Anolis sagrei: one gene and its partner. The protein of the gene in region 1 interacts with the protein of each later gene in a biochemical or structural test. Links are inferred from orthologs where the notes say so. Each region holds a gene or a part of one and is shown in the gene's direction. Other genes may lie near its edges. The genes, in order: PBX1 and HOXB1.

What was found.
Region 2: the proteins of PBX1 (region 1) and HOXB1 are reported together in a solved structure, tested with the Homo sapiens proteins (2 studies listed by BioGRID and IntAct, with this or other methods). The link is inferred for Anolis sagrei from reciprocal best matches to the Homo sapiens genes PBX1 and HOXB1.

Annotation. Positions count from the first base shown.
Region 1 is NC_090024.1:131,831,314-131,842,045, forward strand, and holds the start of PBX1 (pre-B-cell leukemia transcription factor 1), read left to right. Parts: upstream 1-5,732; 5' UTR 5,733-6,130; coding exon 6,131-6,333; intron 6,334-10,732. UniProt on the Homo sapiens protein: Transcription factor which binds the DNA sequence 5'-TGATTGAT-3' as part of a heterodimer with HOX proteins such as HOXA1, HOXA5, HOXB7 and HOXB8. Binds to the DNA sequence 5'-TGATTGAC-3' in complex with a nuclear factor which is not a class I HOX protein.
Region 2 is NC_090026.1:33,308,283-33,319,011, forward strand, and holds the start of HOXB1 (homeobox protein Hox-B1), read left to right. Parts: upstream 1-5,370; coding exon 5,371-6,094; intron 6,095-10,729. UniProt on the Homo sapiens protein: Sequence-specific transcription factor which is part of a developmental regulatory system that provides cells with specific positional identities on the anterior-posterior axis. Acts on the anterior body structures.

The DNA of each region.
Region 1 (10,732 bases):
ATGTCCTCTCTGGACGACCGGCCAAGAAGGGCATGGATCAAGAAAGTACATCGGGACCTCCGTACTTATTCCAGCAGCTTTTCCATATCAACAGTACTTACCAATTGAAACTGACCCAATGTAATTCCATTCACAGAGTTGCTGGACACCTCATTATTGAGTTCTGCTACAATGATGGGAACAAGAGAGAGGTGGATGTGGGCCCACTGGAGCTTTTAAGTTGGAGGTATGGAACTCACCCCCATTGTGGTCCCTCAATTCAGAAGAAAAATGAGCCAACAGAATATATTCTGCCAATTGTGTCTGCAAACCAAACATGCCAGAATCACATGACAAATGTTGAAGATGCTCTACAGCAGTGGTCCTCAACCTTCCTCATGCCACGACCCCTTGATACAGTTCCGCATGGTGTGGTGACCCCCAGCCATAATATTATTTTTGTTGCTACTTCGTAACTGTCGTTTTGCTACAGTTATGAATCGTAATGTAAATATTCGATACACAGGATGTATTTTCATTCACTGGACCAAATTTGGCACAAATACCCAATATACCCAAATTTGAATACTGGTGGGGTTGGGGGGGGGGGGGAATTGATTTTGTCATTTGGAAGCTGTTGTTGCTGGAATTTATAAGTAAAGGTAAAGATTTTCCCCTGACATTAAGTCCAGTCATGTCCAACTCTGGGGATTGGTGCTCGTCTCCATTTCTAAGCCGAAGAGCCAGCGTTGTCCATAGACACCTCCAAGGTCATGTGGCCAGCATGACTGCAAGGAACACTGCTACCTTCCCGCTGGAGCGGTACCTATTGATCTACTCACAATTGCATGTTTTTGAACTGCTAGGTTGGCAGAAGCTGAGGCTAACAGTGGAAGCTCATGCAGCTCCCCAGATTCGAACCTGCAACCTTTCAGTCAACAAGTTTTAGCAGCTCAACAGTTTAACCCACTGCGCCACTGGGGGCTCCGGGATTTATAGTTCACCAACAATCAAAAAGCAATCTAAGAGCAAAACTCAAACAATGATGGATCTGGACCAAATGATAGAATTGGGCCAAACTTTCTACACAGAACCCCCATGACCAAAAGAAAATACTGTGTTTTCTAATGGTCTTTGGCGACCCCTCTGACACCCCCTCACGATCCCCACAGGGGTCCCGACCCCCAGGTTGAGAAACACTGCTCTACAGCCTGCAGCATCAAATATTCAGCCAAGGTTTAATTCTTTATGTATTAAAAAATAAGCACATCCACTTCAATAGTATGCAAATTTGCTTTCATCTTTAATAAATAGTAAAATTATATGTATATCAAATAACTGTTTAAAATGCATTTCTTTATTATTTATTTTCAGTGAATGTTTGATTTGTATACCTATTTTATATACTTATATACCTGGGGTTCTGTAAAAAATTATTGAGCAAAAAGGGGTCACAAGTAGAAAAAGTTTAAGTAGCCTTGCCCTAAATGACCATAATCTTTCCTATAGAAAAATGCAACAAAAATGACACTGGCAGTTGTAATGAACTGGAACTCTTCCACTAGGCAGATCCATTAGGTTTGTTGTTCACATCATGACCAAATAGTAACAGTTGTTCAGTATTATGAAAAAATTAAATTGTACTACTGATCATTTTATTGGATACTTTCTGTTTTTCCTTTGTAGTTTCAAGCTGAGAAAGACATGGAGGCCGAGAACAAACTGGATAAATTAAATATTCTCTTTTTAAAGCTGCACAATTCTCATTTCTATTAATGGAAAGATGAATCTTGCTACTATACTTTGATTTTCTTTGTTTGTTACTATGCTATACAGGCAGTCTCCAAATTATGAACAAGACAGGTTCTATAGCTTTGACCTTAAGTCGAATTTGTGTGTAAGTCAGAACAGGTGCATTTCTAAGTGTAACTTCCACCAAACTATCTCTCTCTCTCTCTCTCTCTCTCTATACCCTATGCTATTCAAAGTGTGTGTAGACACACAGACATATATACTTTAGATAGCATATGAAAGGGTTGCTTTGCTATCTATGACCTTATTTAAAAGATTTCAAATCACTTTCTATTCCTGTAATATCTGGATTTTGAAAAATGTGGCACGTTGTGGAAACAAGAAGTGGTGATCGATTTTAGAATTGGTGATCAATTTGTAATACTTTTAATTGGGAGCTGCCTTGAGTCTCCATATGGAGATAGAAAGCAGGGTATAAATAATAATAATAATATTTATTTATTTATTTATTTATTTATTTATTTATTGTATTTATATACCACCTTTCTCACCCCTGGGGGGACTTAAGGCTGTTTACAACATAGTATGGCAAAAATTCAATGCCAACCTACAGTAAAAAACAATGTAAAACACACAAAAATAAAACAAACATAAGATATAAATAAAATTTAAAGATTCAGATGAAATATTAAAATCGTCCTAGTATAATTGTTAAAATCACATGATCCAAAAATTGTACACCATAGCCATTCTGAATTGTCATTGCACATGTTCCTTAATTATTCTTTGTACTGCATTATTTTAATAACCAAAAGCTTGGTCCCAAAACCATATATTGATCTTTTTTTAAAGGTCAGGAGGGAGGGCGCTGATCTAATCTTGCTGGGGAAGGAGTTCCAGAGCCAAGGGGCCCCCACAGAGAAGGCCCTGTCTCTCTTCTCTACTAACTGCACTTGTGACTTGCAAATAATAATTGGATAGTGTGTGTTGAAAAAGCACTTTGGTTTTCTCGATGTTCAGTGAGAGGTCAAACTTCTTGTATGCTTCTGCAAAGGTGTTTAGAGTGGCTTGTAGGTCTCTTCTGAATGGGCGCAGACCACATTATCATCAACATATTGGAGTTCTATAACAGTTGTTGTGACCTTGGTTTTGGCTTTCATTCTGCTGAGGTTAAATAATAATCAGTTAGGGACCCCTCTCCCCAGCACCAATTGCTGCTCTGGGCCAGAGTGAAGAGAGAGGGGGCCAGGGGACAGTTCCACTTTGTCTCCTGTGCTATGCTAATAATATAATAATATAATATAATATAGTATAATATAATGCAATATAATGTAATATAATATATTGCCTGGACAACCAGGCAAAATGGCACTACCTAGAAGAATCCCCCACCTTGTGCGATTGTGAAGCATAACAAATAACTTCACATCTGTATGCTTCCCCACAATGCAGAGGGCCAGGTCACACTCCCTCAAACTGGTGGTCCAAAGTTTGGTCCAATTCTATCGTTGGTGTGGTTCAGAATGTTATTTCGTTGTAGGTGAACTATAAATCCCAGCAACTACAACTCCCAAATGTTAAGGTCTATTTTTCTCAAACTCCCCCAGTGTTCACATTTCAGCATATTGAGTATTTGTGCCAAGTTTGGTCCAGATCCATCATTGTTTGAGTCCACAGTGCTCTCTGGATGTAGGTGAACTACAACTCCAAAAATTCAAGGTCAATGTCCACCAGATCCTCCCAGTATTTTCTCTTGGTCAAGGGAGTCCTGTGTACCAAGTTTGGTTCAATTTCATCATTGGTGGTGTTCAGAAGGCTCTTTGGTTGTAGGTAAACTATAAATCCCAGCAACTACAGCTCCCAAATGACAAAATCAATCCCCCAACCCCACCAGTATTCAAATTTGGGCATATTGGGTATTTGGGAATTGAAAATACATCCTGCATATTAGATATTTACATTACAATTCGTAACAGTAGCAAAATTATAGTTACGAAGGAACAATGAAAATGTTATGGTTGGGGGTCACCACAACGTGAGGAACTGTACTAAGGGGTCGCGGCATTAGGAAGGTTGAGAACTGGCACAGTCTGGCTTTAGACCGGGACATGGAACGGAAACAGCCTTGGTCGCCTTGGGAGATGATCTACGCTGGGAGCTAGACAGGGGGAGTGTGTCCCTGTTAGTTCTGCTGGACCTCTCAGAGGCCTTCGATACCGTCGATCATGGTATCCTTCTGGGACAACTCATAGAGATGGGACTCGGGGGTACTGCTTTGCAGTGGCTCCGGTCATTTCTTGAGGGACGGTCCCAGAAGGTGTTACTGGGTGACACCTGTTCGGCCCCACAGCCATTGTCGTGTGGAGTCCCTCAGGGATCAATTCTGTCCCCAATGTTGTTTAATATCTACATGAAGCCGCTGGGGGAGATCATTCGGAGTTTCGGACTGCGGTGTTATCTCTATGCAGATGATGTCCAGATCTGTCACTCCTTCTCACCTGTCCCCAAGGAGGCTGTCCAGACCTTGACTCGGTGTCTAGCTGCTGTGTCGGACTGGATGAGAGCTAACAAATTGAAATTGAATCCAGACAAGACAGAGGTCCTACTGGTCAGTCGTAAGGCCGAACAGGGTATAGGGTTACAGCCTGTACTGGATGGGGTTACACTCCCCCTGAAGACTCAGGTTCGCAGCTTGGGAGTGATCCTGGACTCATCGCTGAGCCTGGAACCCCAGGTCTCGGCGGTGGCCGGGAGAGCTTTTGCGCAATTCAAACTTGTGCACCAGTTGCGCCCGTACCTTGGGAAGTCTGATCTGGCCATGGTGGTCCATGCTCTTGTTACATCCTGAATAGACTACTGCAACACGCTCTATGTGGGGTTGCCCTTGAAGACTGTTCGGAAACTTCAACTAGTCCAGCGAGCAGCAGCCAGATTGCCCACTGGAGCAGCATACAGGGAGCACACTACCCCCCTGCTGTGTCAGCTCCACTGGCTGCCGGTTCAATTCCGAGCACAATTCAAGGTGCTGGTTTTGACCTACAAAACCCTGTACAGTTCCGGTCCAGTGTATCTGTCCGAACGTATTTCCCTTCACAAGTGAGGCTGGTGGGGACGAGAAGCAGGGCCTTCTCAGTGGTGGCCCCTCACCTGTGGAACTCACTCCCGGGGGAAATCAGAGCATCATCATCCCTCCTCTCCTTCAGGAGGAGGATGAAGAAGTGGTTATGGGACCAGGCCTTTGGGCAACCAGGCAATTAAATAAGACAATTAAATAAGACAATCAGACGAGCAAGATCAGCAGGATTGTCGAAGTGGAATCAAAAACAGATCTATGAGTTAGTGTACACTGACAGGGTAGGAGGAAGAACTAGGTTTGTATTGATTTTATGGATTTTACTAATTTTATTGGGATAATTGCATGAATTGTGGTAACTATGAATTGTTGTACTTTTGTGATGATTGTTTTGTGTGGCAGGCATCTAAGCGTGCCTTTGCTGTTGTAAGCCGCCCTGGGTCCCTTATGGGGTGAGAAGGGCGGGGTACAAGAACCCCAAATAAAATAAATAAATAAACCACTGCTCTAGAACATGGCCATATAGCCCGAAAAAACTACAACAAGCCTTCGAAAATATATTTATACACTACTTTTGACAGGAAATAAATAAGTAAGTTCTAACTCTGGGGACTAAAGTTCCTCAGATCAGAATCGGGATGAAAAAGCAGGGAAAAAAGAGTCAAATCGATCTCGGGACAAACCGGCTACAGAGAGAAAGAGAAAGAGGGGGGGGGGGGGAGAAAGAGAGCGAGAGAGCGAGAGGAGGGCGAGCGCGCGCCTGCCCCCTTCGGGCCCGGAGCTTCCGCGCCGCCGCCTATCTCTGAACCCGCTTTGGGTGGCGGCTGATGATGGCAGCAGAGAAAGGGGCGGAGCTAGGCGCTGTTGCCGGCGGCGGCCAATCAGAGCGGAGGGGCGCCCTTCGCAGCGCTGCCCTCGGCCCCTCCCTCTCCCTCCCTCCCTCCCTCTCCTGCTCCTTCCTGCCTGGCTCCGCCGTTCCCGTGCCAGTCCCAGTGTTCCGTCCGTCCTGCGCCTCAAACAAAAGCGGGGTCCTGCGAGGAAGGCGGCGGAGGAGTTGCGCCGCCCGAGGGAGGGGCCAGCCACGACGAGGGCCGCCCGCCCGCCCGCCTGCTTCGCTGAGGGAAAGTTTGCGCGGCTTCTCCCGTCCAGACTGAGGCGGGTTTGCTGAGGAGGGATTAAGCGGCGGGTCTCCCAGCGCCACTCTTTCTCTCCCTCACACACACAAAAGCGGAAGAGGGAAAAGCTGAGGGAGACTTCTTCTTCGCCTCCGCCGCCTCGTCCTCCTGAGGAGCCCCCCCTGGTCGGGGGCCCCGCGGCGGGCCCAGCATGGACGACCAGCCCCGGCTGATGCACTCTCACGCGGCGTCGGCGGTGGTGGGCATGGCCGGGCACCCGGGCCTGGCGCAGCACTTGCCCGACGGGGCCGGGCCCGCCGAAAGCGAGGGCGGAGGGCGCAAGCAGGACATCGGAGACATCCTCCAGCAGATCATGACCATCACCGACCAGAGCCTGGACGAGGCGCAGGCCAGGTGAGCAGGGCCGACCCTTCCCCATCCCTTCCCTTCCCTTCCCTCCTTTCTCCTCAGACATCCCTGAAGAGAGAGAGATTGGCTCGGCTAAGTTGGGTCTTGAGACCTGCAGGAACCAAGCAGCCCTTTATTCCTTTCCCAGGCAACCCTCACACCCTCTCTCCTTCTCCAAGTCCAGCTTTAGGGGTGATGTTCTCTTTCAGCATCCATCTGCTCCTCAGCTGAGATCTCAGTCCTTATATTAGTGATTTTTGAGAGAGAGAGAGAGAGAAAAGCTTCAGGGTTTATTTTCTAATACACAGAAAGACTGTCAGTGGCCAGGATTTTTGTTATTGAGATATTGGGGGGGGGGGGGGGGGATAGTGAGCCTTCTTTGCTCTTTTGGAAACTACACTGCAGATTGCACTGCATTTATTCATTTATTTTGTAGATCTCAGTCGTTATACTAGTGGTTTTTGAGATAGAGAAAAGCTTCAGGATTTATTTTCTAATACACAGAAAGACTGTCAGTGGCCAGGATTTTTGTCATTGAGATGTGTGTGTGGGGAAATAGTAAGCCTTGTTTGCTCTATTGGAAACTACATTGCCATTGCAGTGAAATATGCATAAATAAATAAATTGCACTGCATTTATTCATTTATTTCATATCCAAAGCATTGCACAAATTAGTATCAAACCGATAAAAATAGAAGGAGCGCAGGCGGCTAAATACATTTTGACCAAAAACGGGCAACAGCAATTGCATTGTCTGTGGCCTCCAACAATTCTTCCTCTGTACATGAGGCAGGGCATAGTGGGCAAGCATACAGATGGGTTTATTTTCTAACACACAGAAAGACTGTCAGTAGCAAGGATTTTTGTTATTGAGACATTGGGGGGGAAAACAGTAAGCCTTGTTTGCTCTTTTGGAAACTACACTGCAGATTGCACTGCATTTATTTCATATCAAAAGCTACACTGCCATTACAGCGCATTTATTTATTTATTTATTTTGTATCCAAAGCATTGCACAAATTAGTATCAAACTGATAAAAATAGAAGGAGCGCAGGTGGCTAAATATCTTTTGACCAAAAACGGGCAACAGCTATTGCATTGTCTGTAGCCTCCAACAATTCTTCCTCTGTACATGAGGCAGGGCAAAGTGGACAAGCATACAGATGCAGAGTTGTCTGTTCTGCTCCACGGTCACACAAGGTGTGGGATTCTTTTACATAGTGCCATTTTGCCAGGCTGTCTTTTGATCTGCCCACTCCACTTCTGAGGATGTTCAGGGACTTCCAAGTTGCCCATTCTTGGTTTGCCCCTAAAGGAAGACCCTCGTGGGGGGCCATACAGGTGGTGCACTGCATTATAAGCTCAGTGTAATAATAATAATAATCTATATAAATAAAAATGTAACGTTCGTTTGTGGGATTAACATGACTCAACAACCACTGGACGAATTGACACCAAATTTGGACACAATACACCTATCAGGCCAATGAGTAACCATAACTCATAAAAACACTGAAAAACACAGCATTACAAAAAAAAATACATTACAATGCATGCGCAAAACCACACACACTCATATATATATATATATATATATATATATACACGCAAACACACATATACAAAAATATATGCACACACAAAGCACATATACATAGACTGGGCCACAGCAACACGTGGTAGGGGACGGCTAGTAATAAATAATTTTGTGTTGTCGAAGGCTGTCATGGCCGGAATCACTGGTTTGCTGTGAGTTTTCCGGGCTGTATGCCCATGTTTCAGAAGCATTCTCTTCTGATGTTTCACCCACATCTATGGCAAGCATCCTCAGAGGTTGTGAGGTCTGTTGGAAGCTAGGCAAGTGAGGTTTATCTATCTGTGCAATAGCCAATAGTGGAAGAAAAGACATTCAACAGATATATTAAACTCACTTGCCTGGTTTCCAACAGACCTCACAACCTCAAAGGATGCCGGCCATAGATGTGGGTGAAATGTCAGGAGGGAATGCTTCTGGAACTTGGCCATATAGCCCAGAAAATTCGATATTTTTTATTTCTTGCCCGCCTCTCCTCAAGGCTCAAGATGAGTTACAGCATTACTAAAACATAAACACAATCATTTAAATCACTCCTATAATGCCGTTTTAGATTATATGAGTCTATACTGACCATATAATAAGGTGCAAGGATGCATGATAATGGCAGCGTAAGTGGGGCCTTCTCTGTCATAACTACCATTTCAGTCTCCTAGGACCCTTCCACACAGCCCTATAAGTCAAAATATCAAGGTAGGTAATCCACAATATCTGCTTTGAACTGGGTTATCTGAGTCCACGCTGCCATATAACCCAGGGCCCTTCCACACAGCCCTGTATCCCAGAATATAAAGGCAGAAAATCCCACAATATCTGCTTTGAACTGGGTTATCTGAATCCACACTCTGATAATATGGGATTTTCTGCCTTGATATTCTGGGATATAGGGCTGTGTGGAAAGGCCCCCGGTTCAAAGTAGATAATGTGAGATTTTATACAGCTGTGTGGAAGGGGCCTTAACCACAGTCTGAAAAGAAAAGTTAAACTCAGCTAATCTGATGGAAATCAATGGACTTGATCTCCCACATTTCTTGTTGCTCTGTGGCCTTCCCTGTGAGGAGAGCATGCTTTCTTCTTTTGTATTGGTAAACACTGCAGCTTTAGTTAGAATTGGGGCCCTTCCACTTAGCCATATAACCCAGAATATCTGCACTGAACTGGGTTATCTGAATCCCCACAGCCATATAATCCAGTTCAGTGTGGATTTTATACAGCTATGTGGAAGGGACTCTGTGTTTGGTGTCTGTCTTTTCTCCACAGTGTCAAGACACACCAGATTTAAGGTTATTAATTGAATACAGAGCCTAATAGAAACCAACCACTAAAATGCTAATTCATATCCTTATAGCCGTTGAACACAGAAGGTATTTCCAGTTAGGTGACCATGGGGAAATCGCTGTGTGACAATAGCCACCGGAATATCTTGAGGACACTGGAATATGAGGCAAGCTGCACAGCTCTGTTGTGTTATCTCTCACTTGTTCACTTTGTCACACAAGCCATCATACAGCTTGGAGCTCATGGAACGAGAAGGAATTTAAAAATGATCTTGGGTTTATTTTGAAATGCTTCAGTATATCTCCAATTGTATTTTTCCATTTGGGTGATTTAATAGTTCTAATAGTCTCATGTTACACATTTTATTTTAAAAAATAGTGTTTCTTAAAAAAGAAACAAGGCATTCAACAGAATCTGGCAAGTAAAGCATGAAGGATTTTGCAAAACATTACCTCAACGGTAATATGCAACACCATTTGAAAAATGCAAAAAACAAAGACATGATCTTACAGAAGGGAAAGGAGGGAGGGGACTGGCACACTGTCAATTAGATTTTACCTGAAGAAGAACTCAGTATTTCAACATCTGCATTTTGTATTATGCAGTGGAGTAACCAATAATAAACTATTGCTGGGAAACTGCACATTTATTAGGCTGTAACAAATCACTTTGAGCCCCATGTCTGTCTGTCTGTTCAGAAATATTTTATATCTCATCTTTTTCCTAGTCCAAGATTGAAAAAGTTTAAAACATAAAAATATTTTAAAATTCACAAAATACAAAATTTAAAAGTGATTACACTATAAAAATTAAAACTAGCTAAACACATAAATCATTAAAATACATCAGAACAACTGGTAGAAAATCCATCGAATTCAGTATGATGGTTAGACTGAGAAATGCCATCTCAACAAACTTTTGGCCGGTGTTTCCCAGGATGGCTGAAGAAAAGGCAAGGAGGAGTATTATGTTATTAAATGTTTTGTGCATAAATGTATTTTTGGTGGAAGCCAACACATTGATAATGACGTGATTTCCCCCCAACTGATTAATGTTTACATGTTCCTTGTAGTACTGACAGATTTTTTAAATAAGAAAAGCATTTTTGTTTTTCTTATAGCAACTAGTTCTATATTTTAAGGTATTTCAGGGATGTCAGATTGAAGTGATGATGATGTTGCTGTAGTCTTTCTGGGGTTTTTTATACTGTCTTGAGTGCCTGGCCAAATACATATTCTGGAAACAGAAGCAGTGCTTGTGTACCAGATGCACACACAGAAGCAGTCCAGCTGTGGCACAAGAATGTCAGCCCTCTCAAGCAGAGGATTTGGGGTGCCACTAAAGGCAACAGAGGAAGAGGGGGCAGATTGATTTGTCACATGGAGCACAACACCCTGGGTTGTTTTCCTGTATAAGTCCCATTGTAGACATTAGGAACTGTCCAAAGTCTTCACAGACCTTCTGATGAAGAACCTCTCATTGGGTTGTGCTTCTTACTAATCAATGAAAGGAGATGTTGCTCTGTGCTTTTC
Region 2 (10,729 bases), on another chromosome or scaffold:
CTTAGCATTGAACAGTTGTGCTGTTAAAGTGTGAAGTATGGAACCCTGCACAGACAGTTGGTCAATGCGACTTAAGCAGTGTGCAGTCATTGAATTCTTGACAGCAGAAAATGTCATCCCAAAGAAGATTCATCAGCTTATGCAAACTGTGTTGATGTAAGTACTGTGCATCCTTGGGGTGATACCTTCTGCTGTCAAGAATTCAATGGTTGCAGTCACATTGACTAACCGCTCAATGCTAAGGCTAGGTTCTTGTGGGTTTTTTCGGACTATATAGCCATGTTCTAGAGGCATTTTCTCCTGACGTTTCGCCTGCATCTATGGCAAGCATTCTCAGAGGTAGTGAGGTCCTCACTACCTCTGAGGATGCTTGCCATAGATGCAGGTGAAATGTCAGGAGAAAATGCCTCTAGAACATGGCTATATAGCCCAAAAAAACCCACAAGAACCTAGTGATTCCAGCCATGAAAGCCTTCGACAATAGAATGCTAAGGCTTCCTGCCAAAATGGAACTGTAGAGGAAAGTCTACTGAACAAGACAGTACCTGCCACATACCAGTACTGCCATCTATTGAGGTGGAGGCATTACTTTTCATTGAACCCTCCTATATCTGTGGAAAGTCCAGGGTGGGTAAAAGAACTCTTGTCTGTTTGAGGCAAGTGTTAATGTAGCAACTGGCCATCTTGATTAGCATTGAAAGGCCTTGCAGTTTCAAGGACTGGCTGCTTAATTCCTGAGGGAATCCTTTGTTAGGAGGTGTTAGCTGACCTTGTTTTCTGTCTGGAATTCCCCTCTTTTCTGAATGTTGCTCTTTATTTACTGTCCTGATTTTAGATTTTTTAAAAATATGGTAGCCAGATTTTGTTCATTTTCATAGTTTCCTTCTTTCTGTTGAAATTGTCCACATGCTTGTGGGTTTTAGTGGCTTCTCTGTGTAGTCTGATATGGTGGTTGTTAGAGTGGTCCAACATTTCTGTGTTCTGAAAGAATATGCTGTGACAGAAAGGTGTATGCTTTCAAGTTTGCTAGAACTTTTCACCAGCACAAAAAATAGGGATTGTTGTTTTCAAGCTCTGCTATGACTAACTTCTCAGGTTGAGTTAATCTGCGTGCCTTTCATTATTCCTTTATTTGTGTCTGGGCAATCCTGCATTTGGTGGTTCCTATGTGGACTTGTCCAGCGCTGCATGGTTTATGGTAGACTCCTGCAGAGGTGAGAGGATCCCTCTTGTCCTTTGCTGAAAATAGCATTTGTTGGGTTTTCTTGCTGCAGTGGTTCTCGACCATCCTAATGCCACAACCCCTTAATACAGTTCCTCATGTTGTGGTGACCCCCAACCATAACATTATCTTTGTTGCTACTTCATAACTGTAATTTTGCTACTGTTATGAATCATAATGCAAATATCTGATATGCAGGATGTATTTTCATTCACTGGACCAGTTTGGGCACAAATACCCAAAACATTCAAATTTGAATACTGGTGGGGTTAGGGAGATTGATTTTGTCATTGGGAGTTGTAGTTGCTGGGATTTATAGTTCACCTACAATCAAAGAGCATTCTGAAGTCCACCTACAATGGAATTGAACCAAACTTGACACACAAAACTTCCATGACCAACAGAAAATACTGGGTTTGATGGGTACTAACCTTGAGTTTGGGAGTTGTAGTTCTCCTACATCCAGAGAGCACTGTGGACTCAAACAATGATGGATCTGGACCAAATTCGATATGAATCCTCAATATGCCCAAATGTTAACACAGGTGGAGTTGGGGGGGGGGGGGGGGATAAATCTTGACATTTTGGAGTTGTAGTTGCTGGGACCTATAGTTCACTTACAATCAAAGAGCATTCTGTATCCCACCAGTTATAGAATTGGGCCAAACTTCCCACACAGAATCCTCATGACCAACAGAAAATACTGTTTTTTCTGATTGTCTTTAGCGACCCTCACGACCCCCCCCCCCCCCCCAGGGGTCTCAACCCTCAGGTTGAGAAAGGCTGTTGTAGGGGATCTGTAGATTTGTTTGTAGGTTGTGTTTATTCATCAGCTTCCCAATGCTGTCAATGGTTCCCTTGATATATGGACTTTCCACAGATATATAAACCCCTCTTGCCTAGTTTCCAACAGACCTCACAACCTCTGAGGATGCCTGCCATAGATGCAGGCGAAACGTCTGGAGAGAATGCTTCTGGAACATGGACATACAGCCCAGGAAAACTCACAGCAACCCAGTGATTCCGGCCATGAAAGCCTTCCACAACACGCTGTCATAATAGTTTCTGAGGAGAAAGGAACAAGGGTGAGAAATCGTGTGAAAAACTCGAGGTGGAGAGGGATGAAAATGAACCACAACACCAATGCAGGGAGAGATGGCTTAGACTTAGAGAGATGGATGGATAGGGTAGATCGCGTTTCAATTTCGTTTGGGCTCTCCCCACCCCCACCCCTCTTTCAACAAAAGGCAAATTGCATTTCTAACTTTATTTCACAACTCATTAGAATGTTGATTGAATTAAATTGCTCTTAAGCACTCCGCTTCTAGACACAAAGGCGAGGGAGGCGCAGAGCGAAGCTATTCGGGGGCTTGGGATTTTATTTCTATTTTTTTCCCCTTGAAGGGACAGCAACAAAAGCACTTTAAGCAAACTCCATAAACGTGGAAGTAGCTTTTCGGTGATTAATTTCTTGTAACGAGGGGAGGGAAAGCATCCTCTCCTCTGTCGCTCTTTCCTCTTCCCACCCTCGCCATACTGAGTCTCCTCAAGTTGGAAGGGGAGCCAAACTCTTCTCTCCCAATGGAAAGTTGTGATGATTTTTGCCACCTTTATAGGAACTGGAATTCGGGGAGAGAAGAATGGGTTGCTACGAGTTTTCCGGGCTGCATGGCCATGTTCCAGAAGCATTATTTCCTGACGTTTCGCCTGCATCTATGGCAGGCATTCTCAGAGGTTGGAAACTAGGCAATTGGGTTTATATATCTGTAGAATTTCCAGAGTGGGAGAAAAAAACTCTTGTCTGTTTGAGGCAGATGTGAATGTTGCAATTGGCCACATTGATTAGCATTGAATAGCCTTTTAGCTTCAAAGCCTGGGGGAATCCTTTGTCGGGAACTGTTAGCTGGCCCTGATTTCTTCATGTCTGGAATCCCCCTGTTTTTTGAGTGTTGTTCTTTATTTACTGTCCTGATTTTAGAGGTTTTTTTTTAATACTGGTAGCTAGATTTTGTTCATTTTCATGGTTTCCTCCTTTCTGTTGAAATTGTCCACATGGTAGTGGATTTCAGTGACTTCTCTGTGTAGTCTGACATGGTAGTTGTTACAGTGGTCCAATATTTTTGTGTTCTCAAAGAACTCTTGTGTGTTTGAGACAGGTATGAATGTTGCAATTGGCCACCTTGATTAGCATTGAATAGCCTTTCAGCTTCAAGGTCTGGCTGCTTACTGCCTAGGGGAACCTTTTGTCGGGAACTGTTAGCTGGCCCTGATTTCTTCATGTCTGGAATCCTTTTTTAGTGTTGTTCTTTACTTACTGTCCTGATTGTAGAGTTTTATTAATATTGGTAGCCAGATTTTGTTCATTTTCATGGTTTCCTCCTTTCTGTTGAAATTGTCCACATGGTTGTGGATTTCAGTGACTTCTCTGTGTAGTCTAACATGGTAGTTGTTACAGTGGTCCAGCATTCTTGTGTTCTCAAAGAACTCTTGTGTGTTTGAGGCAGGTGTGAATGTTGCAATCTGTCACTTTGATTAGCATTGAATAACCTTTCAGCTTCAAGGTCTGGCCGCCAAGGGAAGTACTGTGCTCTGAAATGAATCAATCAGGGCCAGCTAATACCTGCCCCCAGGCAGTAAGCAGCCAGAGCTTGAAGCTGAAAGGCTATTCAATGCTAATCAAGGTAGTAATAGAATCATAGAATTGGAAGAGACCTCGTGGGCCATCCAGTCCAACCCCCTGCCAAGAAGCAGGAAAATTGCATTCAAAGCACCCCCGACAGATGGCCATATGCCCAGTGGTTCTCAACCTGGGGTCCCCAGATGTTTTTGGCCTTCAACTCCCAGAAATCCTAACAGCTGGTAAACTGGCAGGGATTTCTGGGAGTTGTAGGCCAAAAACATCTGAGGACCCCAGGTTGAGAACCACTGACTCTGTTTAAAATCTTCCAAAGAAGGAGCCTCTACCACATTCAATTGCAACATTCACACTTGCCTCAAACAGACAAGAGTTCTGTCTTCTCAACCGCTGAGGATGCCTACCATAAATGAAGGGAAAATGAAGGAGGGAATGCTTCTGGAATTTGGCCATACAGCCCGGAAAACTCACAGCAGCCGAGACAAACAAAGAGCAACACTAAAAATAAATAAATAAATAAACCCCCAAAAAACCCCCAAAAAAACCAAAACAAAACAAAACAAAAAAAAAACAACCAGGAGAATTCCAGACAAGAATAAATCAGGGGCAGCTAATATCTCCCAACAAAGGATCCCTGGGCAGCAATCAGCCAGGCTTTGAAGCTACAAGGCCATTAATTTATAATAAAGATGGCCAATTGCAACAATTACACTTGCCTCAAACAGACAAGAGTTCTTTCTCCCATCCTGGACATTCCAAAGTTACATAAACCCTCAATTGCCTAGTTTCCAATAGATCTCACAACCTCTGAGGATGCCTGCCATAGATGTAGGTGAAACGTCAGGAAAGAATGCTTTTGGAACATGGCCATACAGCCCAGAAAACTCACAGTGATTCGGGGCATGGAAACCTTCGGCAACACAGAGAAGAGTGACTTTTTAACACATAGAAGGGACCTGGCATAGTGCTAACTTCTCCTCCCCCATCCTTCTTCTATCACTTCCTTTTCTGCCCTTCTTCTTCTTCTTCTCCTCTCTAAGGGGGGAGGGGGGAGAAGAAACACACACACCCCCTTTGACACCTCCGTGTTGTTAATCAGATCGATGGGGAAAAGTTTGATTGAAGTTCCTTTGTCATGCAAATGCCAAGGACTTGATGGATGATGGTAGATATCTGACAAACTTCGGGAGGCCTTTGCTCATTGGGCTCCAAAGCCACCACGTGGTCCGGACCCCCTTTCCACCCTACCCCCAACCCCACACACTCTACACCCCCCCCCAAACCTCTTCCAAGAGTCCCTTTCTGAAGGCTCTAGGAAGGCGGGGTGGGGATATGGGGGCTCCTGGAGTCGAGGTCCATAGATGGGAAGGGACTCTCTCTCCTTCTCCCTGGCTCGCTTCCCTTTCCCTCCCCCCTTTAACTTTGACATACTATCCAAAGGTTGTAGGGCAGAAGAAATCCCCGTAAAACAGGGCGACCCTCTTCCATCATTGGCACCGGAACAATACCTAGAATGAACTTCTTCTTAGACTATGCAATTTGTAACCGTGGGACGAGCGCCTACGCGCCCAAGGACTTCCACCCTCACCAGCAGCAGACCCAACAGCAGCAGCAGCAGCCCTTCGACCCAGGAGCCCCTTCTTTCCCATCTGGTCCCGGTGCTTCTCCAGCTTTTGACAGCTACACTTCAGACGGACGCTATGAGGCGGCTGGGGTGGGCCCTGCTGCTGGACCCAGCGCCCAACAGAGCTTCCACCACCATCAGCACCACCAGCATCAACTGCCTCCCAACCCCACTGGCCTTGGTGTCCCCTTCGCCCGGTCCTCCCAGCCTGGGGCAGGCGGTGGGGGCTTCTACGGAGCAGGCTTCCTCAACCAACAGTTCTACCTCGGCCCCCCAGAGACGGAGGGAGCCTACTTCCACCAGCCTTCGGCCTACCCGGTGGCTTTGGCGGCCCCCTCCACGCCTCCCTCTTCTTCTTCGGCCTCTCCTTCTTCTGCTTCGGGCCTGGGGAGCCTACCTGACAGCTTCTGCGCCGATCCCACGGGCCAGTTCCAGCCACCCCACCTCTATGGGGCTGAACAAGGCGGCTATTTCCCTTTCGGCAACCTCTCGCCCCCTTTACCTGAGCACAAAGACCCCAGGGCTGCCTCTTTGACCCAACACGGGGAGGCTGCCAACGCCACCAGCCAAACCTTCGACTGGATGAAGGTGAAAAGGAATCCCCCCAAAACAGGTAACTCCCAGGCAGCACTTTTGGGAAACCTGGGGCCCTTCCACACAGCCCAATATCCCAGAATAACAAGGCAGAAAATCCCACAATATCTGAGTGTGGACTCAGATAACCCAGTTCAAAGCAGATATTGTGGGATTTTCTGCCTTGATATTCTGGGATATAGGGCTGTGTGCAAAGGCCCTGAGTGTGGACTCAAATAATCCAGTTCAAAGCAGTTATTGTGGGATTTTCTGCCTAGCTATTCGGAGATATAGGGCTGTGTGGAAAGGCCCTGAGTTTGGACTCAAATAACCCAGTACAAAGCAGATATTGTGGGATTTTCTGCCTTGATATTCAGGGATATAGGGCTGCGTGGAAAGGCCCTGAGTGTGGACTCAAATAATCCAGTTCAAAGCAGCTATTGTGGGATTTTCTGCCTTGATTTTATGGGATATAGGGCTGTGCGGAAGGGCCCTGAGTGTGGACTCAAATAACCCAGTTCAAAGCAGATCTAGGGCTGTGCGGAAGGGCCCTGAGTTAGGACTCAAATAACCCAGTTCAAAGCAGATAATGTAGGATTTTCTGCCTTGATATTCTAGGATATAGGGCTGTGTGGAAGAGCCCCAAGAGAAGGGGAGAAATGGTGTCAGGAGCGACTCGAGAAACTGTAAGTCTCTTCTGGTGTCAGAAGCATCCAGTTTGACCCCCATCTTGTCCTACCTCAAAGCATCCCAACAGAAGCATCTGCCTTACTGGAGATGTAACTATGACCAAACTTGGGAGAGGGATTATTTTTGGACTACAACTCTAAGGCCCCTTCCACACAACTGAATAAAACCCCACATTTTCTGCTTTGAACTGGGATATATGGCAGTGTGGACTCAGATATCTCAGTTCAAAGCAGATATTGTGGGATTTTCTGCCTTGATATTCTGGGATATAGGGCTGTGTGGAAGGGCCCCAAGAGAAGGGGAGAAATGTAGGGTTCAGGAAGCCACCTCCTTCTACACTGCACCCAGGGGTTTGTGTGTGTGTGTGTCAGGAGCGGGTTGATAACGCTTCTGGTGTGAGAAGCATCCAGGTTGACTCCCACCTTGTTGTACCTCAAAGCATCCCAAGAGAAGCATCTCCCTTCCTGGAGATGTAACTATGACCAAACTTGGGAGAGGGGTTCTTTTCCGACTACAACTCTAAGGCCCCTTCCAAACAGCCATATAACCCAGAATATCAAGGCAGAAAATCCCACAATATCTGCTTTGAAGTGGGTTATCTGAGGCCCCTTCCACACAGCTGAATAAAATTCCACATTATCTGCTTTGAACTGGGATATATGGCAATGTGGACTCAAATAACCCAGTTCTAAGCAGATATTGTGGGTTATTCTGCTTTGATATTCTGGGTTATATGGCTGTGTGGAAGGGCCCTCAGTCCGCACTTCCATATATCCCAGTTCAAAGCAGAAAATGTGGGATTTCATTCAGCTGTGTGGAAGACGCCTAAGAACACCCCTAGCCAGCATGACTGGGGATCTGGAAGATCCTAATTCTCTCTTGGCCACAAATAGTTCTCTCCTTTGCTTAGATGCCTTTCCAAGACCTGCTTTGCCACCAGTTATATCCAGAATAGCAGGTTTTTCCCTTTGTCAGTCTAACTACTCTAGGGAAGAGGTTAGATTGGGAGAAGGGAATGTATAAGGAAGAGGATGGGATGGGGATGATGCTTCCAAAGATTGTAGAAGGAAGAAAGAAGACCAGCATCCTTGCCTGATGCCCTGGTCCAGAAGAAAAGGGTAAAAACTGCAGGAAAGGGAAGTGTTTGTAACTCCAAGCTTGTCCACGGTTTGTCGGGCTTTCCTAGGCAAGGGATACTCAGGTTGGATGTACACTGCCCTATATCCCAGGATCTTATCCCAGATTATCTGCTTTGAACTGGATTATATGAGTCTACACTGCCAAACAATCTGTGATAAGGTCCTAAGATATAGGGCAGTGTAGGTCCAATCTCTAAGCTTGACTCCTTAGCTCTGAAATATAGTCTACAGCACCTAGTATTCATTGGTAGTCTCCTGTCCAAGTACTAACCAGAGCTGATCCTACTTAGCTTCCAAAATCAGAACGGATCTGACCCTTTTAGGGCATTTAAGAGACTGAATTGGTTCATATGGTAAACCAAGACAGAAAATATTGCTCACCCCAGAGAAATAACCATTTAGTCACAGAACAAGGGTGACTTTCCCATCCCACAATTTGGATATTAGAAACTTTAGTTCCATTAAGTTTCATGTATTTGCCATCCAAATATCACAGTATGCCTTTTTTCGTGGGCTCTATGGAGAGCTCTCAACAAAAAAGAGAGCTTCCACATCAATCAAAGGAGGGGACAGGAGTTGGCTTAGACTAAAGGGAAAGTGCGCCTTTCTCCTCACCCCCAACCCCTCTAGGCCCAACACACACATACACACTGGTATTTCGTTCATTCTTTGCGACACCAACCTTTGGGTCTTTGCTCACTACGAAATAAGTTTGTTTTCCTTGAAAATGGTTCTGTTTGAGAAGATGGTCCATTGCCACAGACCACAACAGAGTTATCTCCAGGTTTAGGGAATGAGAACTATCTTACACAAGATCTAGAACAATAAAAGCTATGGACACAAAGGATCTCAGTGCTCAGGAAAGTTCCCTTTAAGACTATGGATCCCAGAATCCCCAGAAGTAGTTGTAGTTTCTGATCCTAAAAGAGCTTTACAGTGAGTCAAGGTACAAGAATAAGCAGAAAGAGAGACACTTCCCACAAGCATACCTCAATTATTCACTCCTGTAGGCTTCATCAGTTCAAAATGGGAAAGTCCTGATTTAAGGAAAGCCAATTTCAGCACTGAATTTTGTTGGGTACCTTGAGCCCAAACACAATTCTCTATATGGAGAAGGGGAAAACGAGAGCCCTCCACACAGCCATATAACTCAGAATATAAAGGCAGAAAATCCCACAAGATCTGCTTTGAAGGGGATTATCTGAGTCCACACTGCCATATATTCCAATTCAAAGTAGATAATGTGGGATTTTATTCAGTTGTGTGGAAGGGGCCTGAGTTCCATCGTTGTGCAAATGGCTTCGGGATATCTGAAGGCTTCTTTGTGCAAGAACAAAACAAACAAACAAAAACACAAACAATACAACTATAGAGGGTTCCTTTGCACTGTAGAATGAAAGCAGTGTGACACCACTTTAACTGCCATGGCTCAGTGCTATGAAATCCTGGGAGTTGTAGTTTTATTCGTTTAGCCCAACTTTCTAGCTCTGGTCCATTGCTCATCCAAACCAGACTGGAATCAGAAATAACACTTCTGCAAACTGCTTTGATTGGATGAATCTCCTCTAATAGGGATCAATGGGGGTCTAGATTTGAGGTTCTGGCTTTATTTTAACTCCACATAAAGCCAAGGAGGCTCATCCCCAGGATTTACAATGAGATTTAGGGATGGGGTGGTTATGCTGAATTAAGACATTTGGGGTGACTTTAAGGGCAAGCTGAGGACCCATTTGTAATGCCTCCAACCTGGTGCAGAGTTTAATTCCTTCATCACTAAGCAATCCTAGAGTCAAACGCAGCAACGAATAGTCATGTTTCCAGACCTCAAGGTGTACTTTTCTATAATATTACAGAATATTATAATATTACTATTAATGTTAATATTAACAGTATGTAATATTACTACTAATAATATGTAATATTATTATTATTAATATGTAATATTAATAATAATATGTAATATTACTATTGCTTCTATAGGGAGTAGAGGTCTCCTTTATCAGGATATTTGCCAGCTTGGACTGAGGTCCTTTCCATACTGCCCTATATCACAGGATCTGATCCCAGGTTATCTGTTTATCCTAGGGCCCTTCCACACAGCCATATAACTCAGAATATCAAGGTAGAAAAATCCCACAATGGGTTGTTGTGAGTTTTCCGGGCTGTATGGCCATGTTCCAGAAGCATTCCCTCCTGACGTTTCACCTGCATCTATGGCAGGCAACCTCAAAGGTTGTGAGGTCCTCTATCGGATCCAGGAAAAAGGTCAGGAGAGAATGCTTCTGGAACATGGCCATATAGCCCAGAAAACTCGCCACAATCCAGTGATCCCTGCCATGAAAGCCTTCCACAATACATTAAATCCCAGAATATCTGCTTTGAACTGGGTTATCTGAGTCCACTCTGCCATATATCTCAGTTCAAAGCAGATAATGTGGGGTTTTATCAAACGGGGAAGGTGTCCCAGTTTACCTGGCAGTGGAGACTCATATATAAGCAGATAATCTGGGATCAGATCCTGGGATATAGGGCAATGTAGAAGGGGCCTCAATCCCTGGAAGCTAGACCCAGATTTCGTTTCCCCACCTTGTGAAGTTATCGGTTTATTTAGCAATCAATCAAAGGGAAGGATTATACAACAAAACAATTACATTTGTGATGCAACATGGGGCGAGGTGTTTGGTTGGTTAATATTAACCTTAGTCTGATTGTTTGCTTCAGTTAGGGAAAATCAACTATATAAATACTGGGCTGCTGAGAGTTTTCCGGGCTGCTCCAGAAGCATTCTCTCCTGACATTTCACCCACATCTATGGCAGGCATTCTCAGAGGTGGTGAGGTCTGTCG